Ovis aries: one gene and its partners. The protein of the gene in region 2 interacts with the protein of the main gene of each other region in a pairwise test. Links are inferred from orthologs where the notes say so. Each region holds a gene or a part of one and is shown on either strand. Other genes may lie near its edges.

Region 1 (6,086 bases), on a different chromosome or scaffold from region 2:
CTTTGGTTTTCTTGGTAGATGCTACTTTTTCAGTGGCTAGGACTTGAATGGCTTTTTGCATATCATGAATCATCTCCTCGTAATCCTTTAATTGTTTTCGATGCCTGCCACTTATTTCTGCCAGTTTCTGCTGATGAATTTCCTGCAGTACTGCCATTTCAAGTTGATGGTCATCAATTTCCTTATTTCGAGTCTGTTCAAGTTCCTTGATAGTATTTTGCAGTTTATAGATTTCCTTTAGATTAGAACTATCTGCTCCATGTGCTGTAGAAGTTTGAGCACAATGTCTCCAATGGCTGACATCAGCCTCAAGTCTTAAAACTTCATTTGACAATCTATTTATTTCTTGTTGTGACCAAATTAGATCAGCGAAGTCCATATCATCATTCTGGAAAGCTAAAGCATGCTGATAGACATCATAACCCAGTGAAGAGGGTGCAGGAGTTGAGGGCTGAAAGCTATCCTGAAGATTTACTGAGTGGATGACTGACTGCAGCTTTAGCAACTGATCCTTCATTGCTACCTGTCTTGCTGTCAGAAGTCTGATTTCTACGTCTTTCTGGTGTAACTGATGTCTGTAGCTAGCAGTTTGCTGCTTCAGCTGAAGCTCTGAGGCTTCATACTTCTCTTCTAGATCGCTACAAAGAATTCGAAGCCTCTCAATCTCTGATTTTAAGACTGATTGAAAGTCGACAACCTCCTCTCTTGCAGAGTCAGGGAGTTCTTCTACCTTTTCAGCTCCCTTCCTCAGCACATCTTTTGTGAAACTAGAAACACAGTCTGTTAAAAAGGCCATAGTACCACCCACTTGCCCCAGGGAATGGCCTAAGCTGGAGCCAAGGCCACCAAACCAGGACATTGTCACAGGTCGTAAAACTGACCTGATCTGTCCTGCGAAAAGGATCCAGCGGAGTCGGACAGCCTCACTGCTGACCAGCTCGAGGTTAAGAAAAAAATGAGGAGTTTCTAGGCAACGTGGGCTGAGAAGGCCCCTCTATAGAACCCTCGGAGCCCCAGGCATGGCCTGTGACCTGACAAAGAACCTATCTCCTGTGACGTGTCCCCGCTCGGGCGTCTGCTCATCCTCACAACTTCCCAGCGCTAGGGTCGGGCACTTCTCTGCTTGCGTGATTTTCCCAGGGCCGGTAACACCCCGGTCCCCTGGACCGGAGACCATCACCGCAGCTCTGACGGCGCCATCGGTGAGCGCATGTTCATAGAAAGCACACCTGTCTTTTTCTCTTTTTCTCTTCTTTATGATATGGAGTGACATTCAAGGTAGATTTAAATCAATAAAAGAGAAGCAGCACTACAGTAATAGTATTCAAATAGGAATAAAATATATTTAATTGCCTCTGACTTTTTTACTAAATGGCATCTCATACACACAGTCCTGAAGCTTGTTTCACGCAACTATTTTTTTTTTTCTTGAAAAAAAAATCGAGGTAACATGTACATAGAGACACGCGTCCGTCTTAAGAATCCAAGTTGCTGTATTTTGACAAACGTCTACACCCGCGCATAAGCACGGCCCTGATAAAGACTTGGACCGTTTCCATCGTCCCAAAGCTCCTATCCCGTTTCCCTTCGCGCAACACTCCCCCCGCCCCCACCTCCGAGAGCCCTGCCCGGGGGTCTAGTCCCGAGGGTGACTTTTTGTGTCCGCTCTTTGTGTCTGCTTTGCCCACCGCGTGTTTGCGATCTAGTCTGGGAAGTGAGTTATATATTAATATTTAATATTAATATTCGCTGAGCGGAAGCACAAGCACGCCGAGGTCCGGGTGGACCGCGGGGCCCCGGGCGGCCGCGCGTCGCCGGGCCCAGGGAACCACCTGGAGGCGTGGGGACCACGCGGCCCCCGGGCAGGCGGGCGGCGGAGGCCTGGCCGCGCGCCGCCTGCGGCCTGGAGCTCCTCGCCCGCCCCGACCCGGCCGAGCCGGCGGGCGGCGCCGCTGGAAGTGACGCGGCGAGGGCGGGGCCGCAGGCCTGGGGAGCCGTGCCGCCGCCGCCGCGCCTCGGCCGGGAAGCGATGTAGGAGCCGCCAGGCCGTCCCCCGTCCTGCCCGGCCGGAGCCCCGCGGGCCGCCGCCGCCGCCGCCGCCGCCATGAAGAAGCAGTTCAACCGCATGAAGCAGCTGGCCAACCAGACCGTGGGCAGGCGAGTGCGCCGCGCCGGGCCGCCGGGGGTCGCGCGGGCCGGGGGTCGCGGTCGCGGGGGCGGACCGGCTTCTTCCGCGCGCCCCGCCGCTACGGGCCAGGCTGAGGCTCCGCCCGAGGCCGGCGGGGCCCAGGGTCGGGGTCTGCGCCACGCCGCGGCCTGGAGGCCCGCTCTGGGCCGCCGCCTGGCCCCCGGAGACCGGGCGGGCGGGCCGCGCCTCCCGCTCCTACCCCTCGGGTCCCCACTGCCCCGCGGAGCATCGCCCTCCTGGGACTGGAACTGCCCCTCGTCTTTCCCTACCCCGGGATCTGGCAGCCCCGGGCCGCCGCCTGGGGCTGCAACTCGGATCAGTGGTGTGTCCGAGGCTGCCGGGCTTGGGGGCTGCATTCCCAGCCTTTCCGAGTGGCCCCCCTGCTGCAAAACCTCACTTGCAAGTGTCTGGGGGCGGGGGATGGTGGGGGCGAGCAGTCAAGAAGCAAGGGTCATAAGCCCAGCGGATCTGCCTAGTGAGTTTCAGAACGCCCTTTGAGGGAGCTGCGAGGTGGTGCCGTCTCTAGACCAGAAGCGAATATGAACTGCACAGCTTACATTTAAAAAAGCTTGGGTGGGGGGTGGGGGTAATTAGGAGAAAAGGATTCTGGAAACGCCTAGCCCCAGTTTAAAAATAAGTATCATTTTAAAAGTCTTTCTCACTTTGGGTTTGGAAGCAGCTCCTGCTCCCTTGCTTCTTTGGGATTCCTTGACTGCTTGGCAAGCCTTGATTCTGAAATGACAGGAGAGAACAGAGTTAGTAGAGGATCCGGCCATTGGGACAGGACTGGTCTGTGGTCTTGAGAGCTTCTGAAGATGACTGTCATGTGCTGTGTTACCTGGGGCAGATTTTTCAAGGTCTATCCAGGGCAAGTTAGCTGTATGGTATCGGTTTTGCTGTTTATTCTGGGAAGAGAGATGAATGCGGGAATCTTTTTTCACCGCGTTGACTTCTTTTTTTTTCAGCAGTTGAGTCAAAGGGGGAGTTTGGTTTGGCCAAAGCACGTGGCACACTTCTTTTTTGCGTGTGTGTATGAAAATACTTTTACTTCCTCTTGAGTTTTCTAAATGTGCTCTTTACTGTTTCGTTTCCCTCAACTTTTTTGCTTAGTTTTGTTGTTTGGGTCTTTTTGGCTCCCCACCCTGTTAGCTTGGGGTGCATTTATCCTTTTTCCAGAGTTAATTCCTGTCTAGGCTAAAGCCTAGATGTGCCTTGTTTTCTGTTATTTGTGGGGAAATGATAGAAATAACGTGGAGAGGAAGGTTGACAATGTATTGTGGTGGTGGCGGTTGAGTCGCTATGTCGTGTCGGATTTGCGACGGTGGACTGTAGCCTGCCAGGCTCCTCTGTCCATGGGATTTCCCAGGCCGGAATACTGGAAAGTGAAGTGGCTCATTCGTGTCCAACTCTTTGCAACCCCATGGACTGTAGCCTACCACGCTTCTCCGTCCATGGGATTTTCCAGGCAAGGGTACTGGAGTGGGGTGCCATTTCCTTCTCTGGGGGAGTCTTCCATGTCTCCTGCATTGCAGGCAGTCTCCTGCATCACAGGTGAATTCTTCATGGCTAAGCTACCAGGAGAGAGTATTGGTGATGGCTCATGTTTCAGTCAAGAATCTGGGAATGAATTACAAGATAATTCTGTGAATTTTCTACCCCTCTTAGTGTTCTCAGGAACATGCATCAGGGAATCAATATTTAGTGAGTGTCAAGATGCATTTGTCCCAGAGTCATTTGGCCTGTTCATACATTGTATCAAGCAAGTGATTTTTTTTTTTTTAAACAAAGTTCTGAGGCTTTAAAAGCTGCAAAGTTGGTTCAGGGAAACTGTTCAGGGTGTCTTTGGCCCCTGCTTCCTCTGTCGCAGCTTCTCTTTTTATACTTTTAAATTCTAACCGTCTTGTCTACTTTCAGTTTTCAGTGGAGGCTATACTTTTCTTACGTATTAGCCTCTACTTGGAACTATCACAAAGAAATCTCTTTTACCACACCTGCCCTAGGTCACCTCCCACTTGTTCCTCAGGTCTCCTTGGAAAGGTCTCTGCCTCTAAAAGGCCTTCTCTGGGACAAAGTTTGGATGTCCCTCCTTGGCTCTTTCCTAATCCCATACAGCACCTGTTTCGCCATCATGTAATTGCTTCTTTACTTCATCACGCTAAACATTTAAGAATGTTTACCCTTTCTTCTTTGATTCCCAGGATCTTCTGTGGTTCCTATCACTTGGCAGATCCTCAATAAACATTGTCAAATGAATGTAAATCCAGTTCTCACTAGATTGTTCAAGTGGTATGGGAAAACGAGAACTGGATAGAATGAGTGGAGTGATGTGACTCACCCTAGGACTGTAATTCTGGCTCTGACCTTTGGCTCTGAAAATCTTTATTGCTTGATGCAGTGTAGGCTGCAGCTATACAGTAGTATTAAGGGTGTGGAAATTATGCACCTAAAGTCAAAACAGTTTTTACTGGGGAACCTGTTGCTTTACTGTTGTTGATTTCCTATATATGTTTGTCTCCCCCACCCCCGCCCCCAACTTAAGTAATTGTAAAGGACTAGGGAGGAAAGATGGAGGAGGCAGGAGAGAGCCTGAAATTGTTATTGGGCAGAAGCAGCTAGTTAGTGGATATCAGAACCAGGCTTCTGGATGTATTGGGGTCAAAACAAAGGCTAAAACACACACACTCACTAAAGAATGAAGTTGTATGTGTGAATGACTTGCCCACAGTGTGTACTGTCAGTTTGTAGTTCTAGGTGGTGTCATGCGATGAAATATTCTCTTTGCAGAATGAGGACCTTGTGAGTAACCCCATAGTGAGGTTCCATGGGACCGACATGTGGGAGAATTAGTAATGGCTGGAAGGAGTGAGTTCTCATGATGCAATTTGTTTGTAATGGATGGATGAGTCTGTTTCAGAAGGTGGTTCAAATGAGGTGGTCTCCTGAGGTGGGTGTCCCAAAGGAGACAATGAGGATGGTTCTTTTGTGCTCTCTGCCTTTTGTTCATTCATCTATTTAACAATTGTTGGGCCCAAACTGTGTGTGAGTATGTGAGGTATTGGAGTCTATTTCTGCCTCCCTGTTTCTGCCCTGAAGGAGCTCAATACTTTTGTGGAAGAGATAGGCAAGCAAAGAAATAATTGTTACCCTGAGATACGTGCTTTCAGAGGGCTGGCTAATGCTGGTTCTTATTGGATGGGGGAAGGTAACAGAAAACAGAAGAAAGCTTGGGCAAAGCCTTTTGGCTTTGTTTTCATCTTCAAGCACTTTCAGATTTCTTTTGTATTAATGAGGAGCCTGGTGGGCTGCAGTCCATGGCGTCGCTAGGAGTGGGACACAACTGAGCAACTTCACTTTCACTTTTCACTTTCATGCATTGGAGAAGGCAGTGGCAACCCACTCCTTCTTGCCTGGAGAATCTCAGGGACAGGGGAGTCTGGTGGGCTGCCGTCTCTGGGGTAGCACAGAGTCGGACACAACTGAAGCTACTTAGCAGCAGCAGCAGCCCTTGGTAGTATGAAAACCCATTTCAAGCTGCCATAAGTGAAGATGGGAATTAATTGGCTTATATGTGACCAAAAAATATCCAAAAGGAGTCTGGCTTCAGGCTGGGCTGGATCACTCTCCGGACAAGCTGGGTCCACAGAAAGACCCCTCCCCACCCCCACCCTCCATCGTCCTCAGTTCCAGTCCCAGAAGGATGGAAAAACCTTTCTCCCAGTCACTGTCTCCAAGGCCCACAATTGACTCCGTGCTTCTGACTGTGTCCCCTGCTTCTCCCTGGAAATGAGTGTGGAGTAAATGCCCATCTAAACCTTAGGGACTGAGAGTGGGGGAGCACTGGCTCCCCAAGGGAAACCGGGAAACAAGAAACATCATGTCAGGTCTTTCGTAGTCTGAT
Region 2 (6,185 bases):
TACAATTGGGGCTTGGAAGAACGTAGGAATTACAAAAGGAAAGAACGACATCCTTGGCAGAAAGAACAGCTTGAATAAAATTGGAGAACACTGACTATTTGGTTCTAACTCCTTTTCAATTTAGAGATTAGGGCATTACAGGTGGGGTTTTGACAAATGTGTAGGAGTTGGTTAACTCTGGGCTTCTCTAGGGAAGGTGGGACTGGGGTTTGCAGCACTCACATCAAATATCTGGGGCATCTGGGAAAAATAGAAGTGAGACTGGTCACGGTTGAAGCGCTGTAGTTGGGCTGCATACTCATTTTTGCTTTCTTCTGCCATGTGACTCCGAAGGTGGGCTTGTTGTTTGGCCTGAGGAATATCGAGGTAGGGGAGGGTCATAGCCCAGTTCTGGCCTTGCCGAACCCTGACCCCCAAGCCTGTCTCAGACCCTATAGGCACCTTCTCCACATCAGCCTTGGTGGCGTTGATATCCTGGTCAAGCCTCTCAGCAGTCTGGGCTGCCTTCTCAGCCTCCCGGCAGTCCCGTTCAAATTTACGTTTACTCTGTGTTGGGGACAGAACCGGAATGAAGGAACCACCCGCCACAGTTTCAGGGACTGGGGGGAAGTCACCAGCAACTGGGAGTCAGGGTGGGGACAACAGGCAGCTTGGAAACCCACAGGAGAGGAGGGGTCCAGGCCAGATGAAGTGAATCGACAACCCTCACCCAGCTGCTCGGGGCCAGAGCCTCGCTTCTCCACACCCACAGACTCACATTCTCCAGCTGCTTGAAGCCACTTTCCAGCTGCTGCTGGGCCCGACGACCTTCTTGGAAGTGCTGTGGGAAGAGGGGGCGATAAGGCTCACCCTGATGTCAGGGGACCCTCGGGAAGCCCCAGAGAAGGGGTCACCCACCATCTTTCTCTCCTGTTTCATCTCCTGCGAGTACTTGGCCAGCTCCAGACATACACGCACGCTGAGGTTCTCGGCCACCAGCTCCCGCTGGCCGGCAAAATCATTCACCTCCTGCAGAATCTGCACGAAGGACTGTTGCTGGCTGAACCTGGGGTGGGGTGGAGGGGGGATAAGGGCTGGGGGTCAGGACCCCTGGGAGCCACAAGCCCCCAGACCCACCTCCATATGAAAAAGCGTGAGCCCCAAGACATTCACCCCAGAAGCAACAATAAATTCTGGCCCACACCCTCAACCCTCGAGGGGGACACAGAAACTCAGAATTCTCAAAATTTGGGGAGGTCTTAGAAAGGGGATGCGATGCTTATACCATCTTTTTGCATGACTCTCGTGGTGTCAGTAGCAGCATCATATAATCAAATACTATAAATGCTTTTGCAAGAAGTATTAGTATTCACATAAGTGAGATAAAATCCAAAAGACCCTAATGAACTTAATTAACTTCATGTCAGTTCAGGTCTTGAGATTGCCTCCAAACAAGCGACCAAAAAATCTTTTGCTTTCTAGAGCTCTGGGGGTTTCTGGAACTGGAATAAAGTGAAATGAGCCAGGCATTGTTTTAACACACTATCTTAATCTTCATATGAGCCCCTACAAGGACATCGTCATCCCCAGTTCACAGGAGAGGAAAACCAAGGCTCACAACATGAGTCACTTGCCCAGAGACACTCATTTAATAACTGTGGGAGCCTCTCCCATTTAATAGGTGAGGTAAACGGAGGCTGAGAACTGAAGTCAAGTGGCCAAAGCAGTTCAGCTGGAAAGTAGTGGATTTAGAATTCCAAGCCAGGTAATTCGGTTCCTGCATCCAAGCTCACGCCTCTAGGTGGAACTGGGGTGAGAAGTGAGGGATCTGTTTGCGGGGAGCCCAGCTTGAGAGAGAGAGGAAGTGGGTCCCATACCCTCGGCCCTCCCAAATCTAGCTCTGTATCCATCCGGTGTTCGTTCTTACTTGGATTCAGGGTCATCTTTAGCAGGTCTTTTGGGCATGTATTTTTTCACCAGGCTCCTACGGAGAGAGGCAGGAAGGCTGAGCCCCCAGTCCTCCAACCGCTCCCCCTAACCCTAGGGAGCGGCCACCCTAGGGTCTCACCGCAGTTGCTTTGCATAAGCCTGCTCCACCTCCGTCCGCTCTTTCACGAACTTCACGTATCTGTCCAACAGGTCCAGACCCCACTGCGTGTGCCGCTCGAGCACCTCAAACTGATCCTAGCAGGGGGATTGGGAGGACCAAGGTCAGGACCCAGGGACCCCACAGCCGCCAACCCAGCGGCAGGGGAGCCTCCTGGCTCCGAGCTCCAAGAAGGAGTGGCTTCCCGGCCCCGCCCCGGAGCGGCGCGGGGGGAGGCAGGAAACCGGCGGGAACCCCCTCCCCTTCCCGGGAAGGGCCAGAGAACTGGGGCGGGGCCCCAGCCGGACTACAGGGTCCCCTCTCCCGGCTCCAGGAGGGGTGTGGAATGGGACAAGGCCACTCCCCCTGCCCCGGGTCCCCTAATCCCCCCCAGATTCCGGAAAATCCGGCCGGTCTGCCGTGAGTCAGGGCCAGAGGGGCAGGGTTCCCTGCAGCTTGTGGGGGCCCCAGAATGGTCGGAGCGCGGGCATTAGGTTCCCCCGGTCGCCAGGCTTCCCAGGGTCCCCCAGGGGCGACTCAGTTTTCCTCACTGACTCCACTTTACCTCCAAAAGAAATCCCAGAGTTGGTGTAGGGGGGACGATCTAGTTAACCCAGGGCACCCAGGAACCCAGGAGTGCCACCGCCCCCAGAAAGAGGAGGCGTCAGAGGTTCCGGCTAGGAAAGGGGGAAAAAATTCTGGGGCTTCCAGGGCAGAGGTTCGAGGCGATTGGTGGCGGCCCCTCCCAGTGCCTAAGGAGAGCTGGGGGAGGGGGCTGAGGCCGAGGCTCGCAGCCCCCTCCCCCCTACAGCGTCCCAATTCCCTAATTGTAGATTAGAGGCGACGCGAGGGCGGTTTGGACTTCCAGGTCCCACGTGGGGTTGGAAGTGGCCAGAGGGCCCCCTCCCCCGCCCCAGCCGGACAGGCGGACGGCGGGCAGGGACCCAGGGGCCGTAAGATAAGCCGCCGGCCCAGTCAGGGCGCTCAAAATAGGTGACCTCTCCCGGCTGCTCAGGCCTGGTCCCAGAACTTCTTCTGCCCTCCTCACTATGAACCCCGTACCTCAGTTTCCCTACGCGGCTCCTTAAAGGTCGCCCTCCGCTCCGGGGCGTCCTGAACCGCCCTGGGAAACTCCGCGGAGAGAGGGGATTCCAGGGGTCGGTGGAAGGGAACGCGCAGAGATCCCGCTGGGGTACTGCAGGGGCAAATCGTGGGTCTGGACCCCAGGAAGGGAGGAACTTGGAGTCAAGCGGAACGGACTCACCCACAGTTCGGTGCCCCAATCCATGCTGCTCCCTCCGCGGCCGACGCCTCCACCGCACCCGGTCCCTGCCGCCCGCCGCCGCCGGGAGACTCAGCCCAGGGCCAGGAGCCCGACCCCGCCTCGCTAAGGCCCCGCCCACTCCAAGCTCTGCCACGCCCCGTACACTCTGCCACGCCCCCGCACTCTTGGAGCCCTGGCACGGCCCCCTGAAAGCAAGACCCCCCCTCCAAGGAGGCGGGGCCCAACGGACGCCCCGCCCCTTCTTAAAGGAATGCGCGCCACCCGACGCCACTGGACAGACAGACCCCTTAAAGGACCCCCATCCATTTTCCAAATCCCCTGGGACCCTTTTGTCCACCCCATTCCTGCCCCGCCCTGGACAGTTTTTCTTTTCCTCTTTCCTTTCAATCATTCATTAAAGGGCCAAGACACTAAACCCCAACCCAAGAGGTTTTCCCCCCACTCTGCCGCAGGGAGAACTGAGGTCACCCCGCTCTTGAGGGCCGGCCTGGCTCCAGACGTCTACGTTCGTCCCACTAATGGTCTGGTCCCTCCGGCCACAGGGCGGATGGGAGGACTTCGATCCTGTCCAGGACGCGCCTCCGCCAAGGCCGGGTCCATTAGCGCCCCTACCGCATCCTGCCTCCCTCCCTAAAGTCTGCGCCGGGAAACTGAGGACGGGCTGTCCTTGGGGCGCCAGGCCCAGGCCTTTCCTCAGCTCCCGTACAGTTGGAGCTTGCACCTGCCCATTTCCCAGTCTCATCCATTAAGGTGCAATCAGGTTTAATAGTTTGCACAGACCCTAGTATTCCTACTCCACCACTCCCCCGCTCCTCGAACCCTTGGGCTTGGAAGTCTGTCACCTCTCTCATAAAAGTCAGTTCACACACTGTTAATCCCTTTGAGGCACTGAGATGAAAGGGGCGAGATCCAAGCAGCAACCTCCCCCCACTCCCATCCTCTCCTGCCTTTGGTGCTTTCTCTTTGGTTACAGAGGTGACAGTCGCCCCGCTGGGGCTGAGGGCATTAGACCCCCTGGGACAAGTCAGACTCTGAGCCCCGTCTTCCAGGACACAAGAAGTCACAACACGGCTAGGAGGATAGATAGCTCCAGTAACCCACAATGGGATAGACGGCTCTGCGGGGACCTGGCCCCACCTGCTGGTGGCTTCCGAGTTAGAAAACTTCAAATTGCAAAATAGACGGGTTCCAGAGGTTAAACAGAGACGGAAACGGCAACCCACTCCAGTACTCTTGCCTGGGAAATCCCATGGACAGGGGAGCCTGGCAGGCTACAGTACATAGGGTCACAAAGAGTCGGACATTACTGAGTTACTGAGCATGCATGCCAGAGGTTAGAGGGTCAGATCAAGCCAGAAACTCAGCCTGGGGTCTGGAACTCAGCGGCTCAGCCTGGGAGTTGGAGTCTCAACTGAAATTGGGATTCATCCCAGGTGGGCACCACAACTGGGATGGAACCTGACTAGGATCGGAGGTTTAGGAGAGGGGTGAGCCACTAGTCGAAGGCCTGGGACTCAAATGAAGGACCACAGGTCTGTCTTAATCTGAGGTCAGGGCTCAGTCTTTATCTGAGATCTGTCTAGGTGTAAACTCAGCCAGAGATTAAGGCTCAGTATAGGCTGAGAGTAAAAGGGGAAGGGAGAGCTGCGTTTCAGCTGAGATCAGGACTTAGCTGCAGGTAGGCGCTCAGCCTGGTGTTGCGGTTCAGCCTGAATCAAGATTGTCCTGGGTTCTGGGGATGGGACTCCATCCAGTGGCCTCACTCCAGGATAGAAGCGTCCGCCTAAGCCTGGTAACTCAGTCTGGGATCATAGGTCATTCCAGGGTCATGATTTAGCTTGGGGCCAGGTTTTGGCCTCTCAGTGGATCAGCAAGATTAGGAAAACAAGACAGGCGGCTTCAGCAAATGCAAGTGTTTACCAAAAGCCTGAGCTTTGGCTGGGAGCCACATCCCCAGGGGGAAAGAGGGAAGTCTGTCTTTAGGGATACTGGGAGATGTAGTTTATTGTATGCCCCCATTGAGTTGTTTGCTGCCCCACCCCCTCCAACTTTGCGTTCTGGGTAATGTAGTTCTGAACGGATCTGTCAGTTAAGAGTGGGTGGAGGAACTCCTCTTCAGGGAAGGATATCGGCTCCATCACAATTGGTTGGATGAACTGTTTATCAACTTACATCCGGGACAATCTTTCTAGTGATTGGTGGGTGTGAAGGCGGGGTTAAGCAATATTAGCATTCCCATTTGGGACTGGTGCTGTCCATTTGGTGTCTTACAGGGGGCGGGCACGAGAGGAGGCAATCGGTGATTGGCTGGAAGGGCTCAAAAAGCAGAAGGGTCGGCCCCCACCGTGCGGCGATTGGCTCACTGGTAGGCGGGCCTGGGGGCGTTAGAGGCGGTGTCAAGGGCGGTGGCTCCAGAGATGGCAGTGAGAGAGAGGAGGGGGCTCGGTCGTGGGAGCCCCGCGGAATGGGGGCCGTGGCTACTTCTGCTGCTGCTGTTAGGCGGTTCCTCTGGACGCATTCACCGGCTGACGCTGACGGTAAGTCCCGCCGCGTGGCGGTCTGGGGTGCGGCGCCCAGCTTTGGCCCGGAAAAGCCCCTAGCTTGGAGTGGTCTCGTCCTGCCTCCCCCGCTCCTTATGCGGAATGGAGAGGTCCAGCGCCCCCTGCTTCAGGCCAAGAGTGGTCTCGCCAGAGGATCCCCCTCAGTGGTTCTTTTGAAATTGCCTGGCCTGCTGCCCTGGGGTCGTCCCTAGCCCACAGCGGGTGGGGCTTCACCTCTGGGGACCCAGGACTCTGAGGCCTTTAAATTCTTGGGATCGTTTTGGGGCTGCTAGGG
Region 3 (6,028 bases), on a different chromosome or scaffold from region 2:
CCAGTGGTTAAGACTCTGAGCATCCACTGCAGGGGACACTGGTTCAACACCAGGTCTGGGAACTAAGATCCCACATGCCACAGTGTGGCAAAAAATAAAAATAAAAACACGTTCTTTTAGACGAGTTTTAGATTCACAGATTTATTGCAAAGATAGTACAGAGTTCCCATATACCCTGTACACTGTTCCCCTGACTACAAACATCTTACGTTAGTACAGTATATTCATCACACTCCATGAACCAATACTGACAATAATGACCATATTCCTTAATTTTCCCCTAATGAACTTTTCCTGTTCTACGATCATATCCAAAACACCACATACGCATTCTGTAGTCATATGCTGTAGATTAATGAAATCCCAGATATTCCAATGAGAGTAGGTTTGAGGTGGGGCCCAAAAATGTGCATTTCTAACAAGTCCCCAAGGGTTGCTGATGCAGCCAATCTGAAAGCTCACTTAGAACAGCAGTGATTGCAGACTCCAGAACCACCACTGTTCAACACAGCAGCCACTGCTAAGAAATGCGCCTACTGAGCATGTAACTTGTGGCTAACCTAAACTGAGGCGTGCTATACGTGTAAAACCCACATGGGAGTCTGAAGCTGTCATACAGACAAAATGATAATAAGATTTACCTCACGGCTTCTTTGACTCTTTCTCAGTTATCATGTGAGTACTAAAAATTACTTGAGAATTACCAAGGTGACTGGCATCACATTTCCACACGACAGCAGTAGTCTGAAGTCCTGGCAGCACTGGTATTACATGGGGTTTAAGAAGTTCAGGTGATGTCCATGTACACTAAAATTTGAGAAGCACTGGACTATCAAGGCAAGGGGTGCTTAGAGAGGTCATGATCTGATAGTTCAGTTCAATTAAAAAACTGGTCAACTGTACACTGAAACTGCAAAATATTAAGTCAATAAAACAAGGAAATGGCTGAATCACTGCAAAGCCATCCAAAAACGAGGATGTGGCACAATTAGAACAGTTAGCAATTAAAGAAACCACAAAGGTAGCGGCCCAACTGGTTCCTCAAAAGAGCATGATTCTGAAGCACAATGATGCTGTGTGGTACCATCCTGCCTTTTCACTTTTGATTCATTCAACGAAACAATGCATATTTGCAAGTACAACTAAAACTATTCTATATAAAAGTTTAATTTCACTCTTCTTTCTCACTACTATAAAACTGTAATGCCCACTTTAGGCAGATTTACCTTAAACTGCTTTTTCCTAGCACCAGTTTTCTCATAGAAGCAAAAATGAGTGTGTGAGTGTGAAAGTCGATCAGTCGTGTCTGACTCTTTGCAACCCTTTGGTCTATACAGTCCATGGAATTCTCCAGGCCAGAATACTGGAGTGGGTAGCCGTTCCCTTCTCCAGGGGATCTTCCCAACCCAGGGATCAAACCCAGGTCTCCCACATTGCAGGCGGACTCTTTACTAGCTGAGCCATCAAAAAAGCTGCTGCTGCTAAGTCGCTTCAGTCGTGTCCGACTCTGTGCGACTCCATAGACAGCAGCCCACCCAGGCTCCCCGTCCCTGGGATTCTCTAGGCAAGAATACTGGAGTGGGTTGCCATTTCCTTCTCCAGTGCATGAAGTGAAAACTGAAAGTGAAGTCGCTCAGTCCTGTCCGACTCCTAGTGACCCCTGGACTGCAGCCCACCAGGCTCCTCCATCCATGGGATTTTCCAGGCAAGAGTGCTGGAGTGGGGTGCCATCAAGGAAGCTACCATTTAGTAATTTTACACAGCATCAGAGTCACTGTCTTAATTAACTTATACTGTTTGTTACCTTTTTTATCCTCAGAATTGTCGACTGCATCATTTGAAGTACTTTACATTCGTAAAACACATTTTCTGTCAACCTAATAAAAAAAAGCACTCAGCAGATACTTTCTTATTAATGAAAGAACCGCCAAATGATTGACTACAAATAATACAGTTTTTCTGCAGTATTTATATATTCTCACTTGTGCCTCACAACAACTAGTGTAGTATGTAAAAAAAAAAGAAAAAAACTAAAGATACATAAAATACTGACTGTATGTGGACAACCCCTCTATACAGATGGCATCACATTAAGAATCAGTGCGTTAGCAATCTTCTCCAACTTCTGTCCTCCATAAAGTAGGAACAGAAGCCTACCACCCCATACTGGGGCATGCACATGCAATATGGTACATCAGGCTTCATTCAACTCATTTTTCCCCAAAAGAGTCCCTTTCCAGACCAGCAGAGCTTCCTGAAACCAGGAGTCACGCCGACATGCCCAGCTCCTCAGGTTCTTCCAGTTGCCCCACTCAGGGTCAAGTCTTTAGAGACTGGTTCAAGCCAAACTCTGCTCAGAAACATTTCCAAGGCATTTTTTAAAACAGAGAGAAAGAGAGAAACACTGGCCCCAGCAGCCAGACCATCTACTCCGACCAAAAGATAACACAAAAGACATCCTGCCCTGTCAGGCACCCTCCTGCGGATCAGGTAAGGAGCACTGGCTATAGATCCACCTCCAGGCCACCGTTTCCCAGCATCTGGGTATGAAAGAGCCGCGGCCAGGAGCTGGACGTTTTTGAGCCACCCTTCACTGTAACATTCAGAGTCTTCCAAGGTCTCACCTTCAGAAGCTGAGAGGGAGAATTTTAATCAGAATCCGGGTGGACTCTTCATTCAAAGTTCCCTCCTTCCTCCCCGTATTCACCTCCCGTTAGGAACACATGCCTAAATGTTCAAAAAAATCTGCCACCGGGGCTTCTCTGGCGGTCTGGTGGATAAGAATCCGCCTTGCAATGCAGGTGACACGGGTTCGATATCTGGTCCCAGAAGATCCTACAGGCCGCGGAGCAGCTAAGCCCTTGAGACACAACTACCTGCCCCAACTACTGAAGCCCGCACTCTAGGGCCCAGAGGACACAAGAGAAGCCACAGCAATGAGAAGACCACTCACCACAACGAACGGTTGCCCCTGCTTCCCGCAACTAGAGAACGCCTGCGCACAGCAAATGAAGACACAGCACTGCTCAAAATAACGTAAACAAATCTTTTTTTTAATTACCTCCCATGTCTTAATTAACCATAAAGCAACACGAATGTTACCAGCCTGTCCCGACAACAAATACTTCACTTGGAGACACATCAGAACTTTCATACAGCCACGCTTTGAACATGCTCGCCTTCGCAAGTGCCTGGAAAACGGCGGCTGCCGTCAGAAGGAAAACATCACCACGCCTCGAGAATGACCCTGTGGCCTTTTCGTGTCAAAGGGTCTGCGGTAACTTCAGACGCCACACGTCAAGGACAGTCATCCTTAGAAGACAATACACACATACACACACACACACCCCCGAGAAGAGCGCAGAGGGTTTTCTGAAATTAAAAACGGTGGAGGAGAATTCTCGCAGAAGGGCTAGAAAGAAGCAGATGCCCACTGAGCAGGGGCGGGGCACCTCTAGAAGCTGCAGAAGCCCCCATGCCCAGTCTGGGGGATCAATAGCCTTCGAGCAGCCCCAAGTCGGCTCCTGGGGCTGCTGGGCGGGCGGGGGTTGCACCTCCCGCAGCAGTTGAGGAGCGGGCTCGCCGCCGGCGGGAGGCCAGAAAGGAGGGCGGCACCGCCAGCCTTTTACACACACACACACACACGCACACGCACACGCACAGCCCGCCACCCTCCTTCCTGGGGGCGGGGCGGCGGGCACTGCCCTCTCACAGGAAGTCAGGAAACCCGGGGGGCAGAGGAGCCGCAACTTCCAGCCATTTAAAACCCCGTCGCCCACGTCGCCCGAGCGGCCGGCAGCGGCCCGGCGCCTGGACCCCGCCGGCCGCGCCCCCGGCCGCACCTCGCGCACCCCGGCGTCGCCGCGCGCCCGCACACGCCTCCTCCGGCCCCGCAGCCCCGGCCCCGGGCGCCTTTGTGCAGCGCCGCCCCGACCTGCCCTCCGCCCGGGCTCACTCTCCCTACCAACCTCACCGAGGGCCCGGCGGCTTCGCGGGGTGGGGCGGCTCCCTCCTGGCCCGGCTCGGCGGCGGCGGGGCGCCCAGACGAACCTGAAGGGCGCTCACTCAGCGGCGGCCGCGGCCGGCGCGTCCCCGCAGGCGGCTCTCCCGGGGCGGGTGAGTTCCAGGGCACGTCGGAGCGCGCCGGCGCGGGGGCGGGGCGGGGCGGGGCCACGTGACGGGGCGGGGCGCGGCGCACGTGACCGCCAGGCGGGCGCCGGGGGAGCGGGCGGCGTGGATCCGGGAGGAGGAGGGGAGAGGCGGGGGGAGGGGCCGAGGATCGCCCGGGCGCCCGAGCTGCTCGCCGAGGGAGGGGGGCGGTGGAGCTTTTAAACGCCAAGTGGGGAAAGTTGAGGAGAGGCCGGTGGGGAAAACGAGGGAAGGGCGGAAGGAAAACGGCCCGAGTCCTGGGGTGGCAGGAGTGGGGCCCAGGGGAGAAGGGGGCGTGGGCCCGGCTGTCCCCTTTCTCGTCCGGGTAGGAGCGCAGCCTGGCGAGGGTCAGCCTTTCCGGACCCAGAAATCGGAGAAAGTCCCCTCGCGACCTCACCTGACGGAAGGGAACCCTGGAGACCCTGGTCCACAACCCGGTCCCGGACCTTCGCCGAGACCACCCGGCAGAGTGCGAAAACAGCGCGCACACTCCGCGGGCGGGCGGGCGGCTCCAGGGCGGCTTCTGCCATGTGCAAGCCCCGTGGGGGCCACGATGTCATTGCCCAAAGTCACCCCAGCTTGCAGGATGACAGCACGGAATCCAAAAATTGGAGGCATAACAGCTTTCTCTGGGGAGCCTGTGGCGGGAGTTCTGCGGAACTGGGAATCGGGAGAGAGACCTGGCTTCTGCCATTGTCGCTTCGCCCTTCTCGACCTCAGCTGTGAAAGGAGCATGTTGACGAGCCCAAAGCCTCTTTCTATGATTCAAGGACAGAAAAATCACTGCTATGTATTCGGACTGCAGAAAACATTCGTTACTAACCAGTGGTTGATTGTGTCTGTTACGGCGCAGAGATGAAATTTCAATAAAACAAGCAAAAGAAAAAAGGTCAGGGTATGATTCAAGAGCCAGTCTCTGGAACTGGCTCTTTTGTGTTCTTCACATCATGCTTGAAGATGCTGTTGTGTCTGATTTCCCCGTCACAAACTGAACTCCCAGTTATCCTGTAGTGACTGCAAAGAACCCAATGGGATATTGGCAAGACTTTAACAACTGTAGGTTACTGACTTATTATAAAATTAAATCTTAATGGGGGAGCTAAAGTTTTAAGATCTTCTTTTAGGAAGAAAAGGATTTCCTGGAGGTCCAGTGGTTAAGACTCAGCAATCCCTGATCGGGGAACTAAGATCCCACATGCCTGCAGCACAGCCAAGAAAGGAAAAAGAAAGAAAACATGCACAAGCCTGAGGCCATACTTTCTCTGACCATCCACTGGACGATACACCCACTTTCCTTGGCATCACTTGGCCTTTCTGTCTCCCTCACTTTCTAACAAGTAACATTTTGCATGCCCTTGTTCGGCAGACAAGAGTACTGCTGGTGTATGCTTCTGACACTGTTTTCCATAAAACCTCTGGGATCTCTTTATAGAACCAAAACAGGGACAGACAGCAAAAGGGAAACTGTGCCCTGATGGGCATGTGCTGATAACCTTATCTTCCGTGTTTCCCAAGCCTGAGTTGGACACCCGTGGTTTCAGCTTCGGATAGAACTAAACAGTTTGCACACACTTGCTGATCTGCACATAACTCCACTTCCTATTTCACAACCTAGTCTCAGATGCTAACACAATGCCCACAGTATGCTGATCACTACCAACAGCAGATGGAGTCAGATAAAAAGAGCTCTCGCCCAAGTGTGTTGTTTAAAAGGACCTGATGGAAAGCTATGAAATCATATGCAACATTGCCTCTAGTCAGTTTTAAATAACACTGGTAGCATATGTCTGGTGCCTGTGCCCAGGATCACAACAGATCATTTTCAGGATATTGACATTTAACTTGTGTCTTAAGAAGTAGCACAGAGTTCCAAAATGTA

What was found. The genes of interacting proteins can lie anywhere in the genome.
Region 1: the proteins of TRIP10 (region 2) and ARHGAP17 interact in binary tests that used the Homo sapiens proteins (3 or more experiments, as listed by UniProt). The link is inferred for Ovis aries from reciprocal best matches to the Homo sapiens genes TRIP10 and ARHGAP17.
Region 3: the proteins of TRIP10 (region 2) and ARHGAP12 interact in binary tests that used the Homo sapiens proteins (3 or more experiments, as listed by UniProt). The two-hybrid records come from large-scale screens. The link is inferred for Ovis aries from reciprocal best matches to the Homo sapiens genes TRIP10 and ARHGAP12.

Annotation. Positions count from the first base shown.
Region 1 is NC_056077.1:23,204,096-23,210,181, reverse strand, and holds the start of ARHGAP17 (rho GTPase-activating protein 17), read left to right. Parts: upstream 1-1,968; 5' UTR 1,969-2,104; coding exon 2,105-2,157; intron 2,158-6,086. Other genes in the region: thyroid receptor-interacting protein 11-like, read right to left, coding at 1-859. UniProt on the Homo sapiens protein: Rho GTPase-activating protein involved in the maintenance of tight junction by regulating the activity of CDC42, thereby playing a central role in apical polarity of epithelial cells.
Region 2 is NC_056058.1:15,497,562-15,503,746, forward strand, and holds the start of TRIP10 (cdc42-interacting protein 4), read right to left. Parts: upstream 3,433-6,185; 5' UTR 3,354-3,432; coding exon 3,330-3,353; exon of another isoform or gene 3,128-3,329; intron 2,743-3,127; exon of another isoform or gene 2,631-2,742; intron 2,164-2,630; coding exon 2,048-2,163; intron 1,964-2,047; coding exon 1,907-1,963; intron 1,046-1,906; coding exon 898-1,045; intron 821-897; coding exon 758-820; intron 547-757; coding exon 442-546; intron 352-441; coding exon 223-351; intron 1-222. Other genes in the region: protein GPR108, read left to right, coding at 5,768-5,887. UniProt on the Homo sapiens protein: Required for translocation of GLUT4 to the plasma membrane in response to insulin signaling. Required to coordinate membrane tubulation with reorganization of the actin cytoskeleton during endocytosis.
Region 3 is NC_056066.1:32,794,224-32,800,251, reverse strand, and holds the start of ARHGAP12 (rho GTPase-activating protein 12), read right to left. Parts: upstream 4,119-6,028; 5' UTR 3,974-4,118; exon of another isoform or gene 3,969-3,973; intron 3,605-3,968; exon of another isoform or gene 1-3,604. UniProt on the Homo sapiens protein: GTPase activator for the Rho-type GTPases by converting them to an inactive GDP-bound state.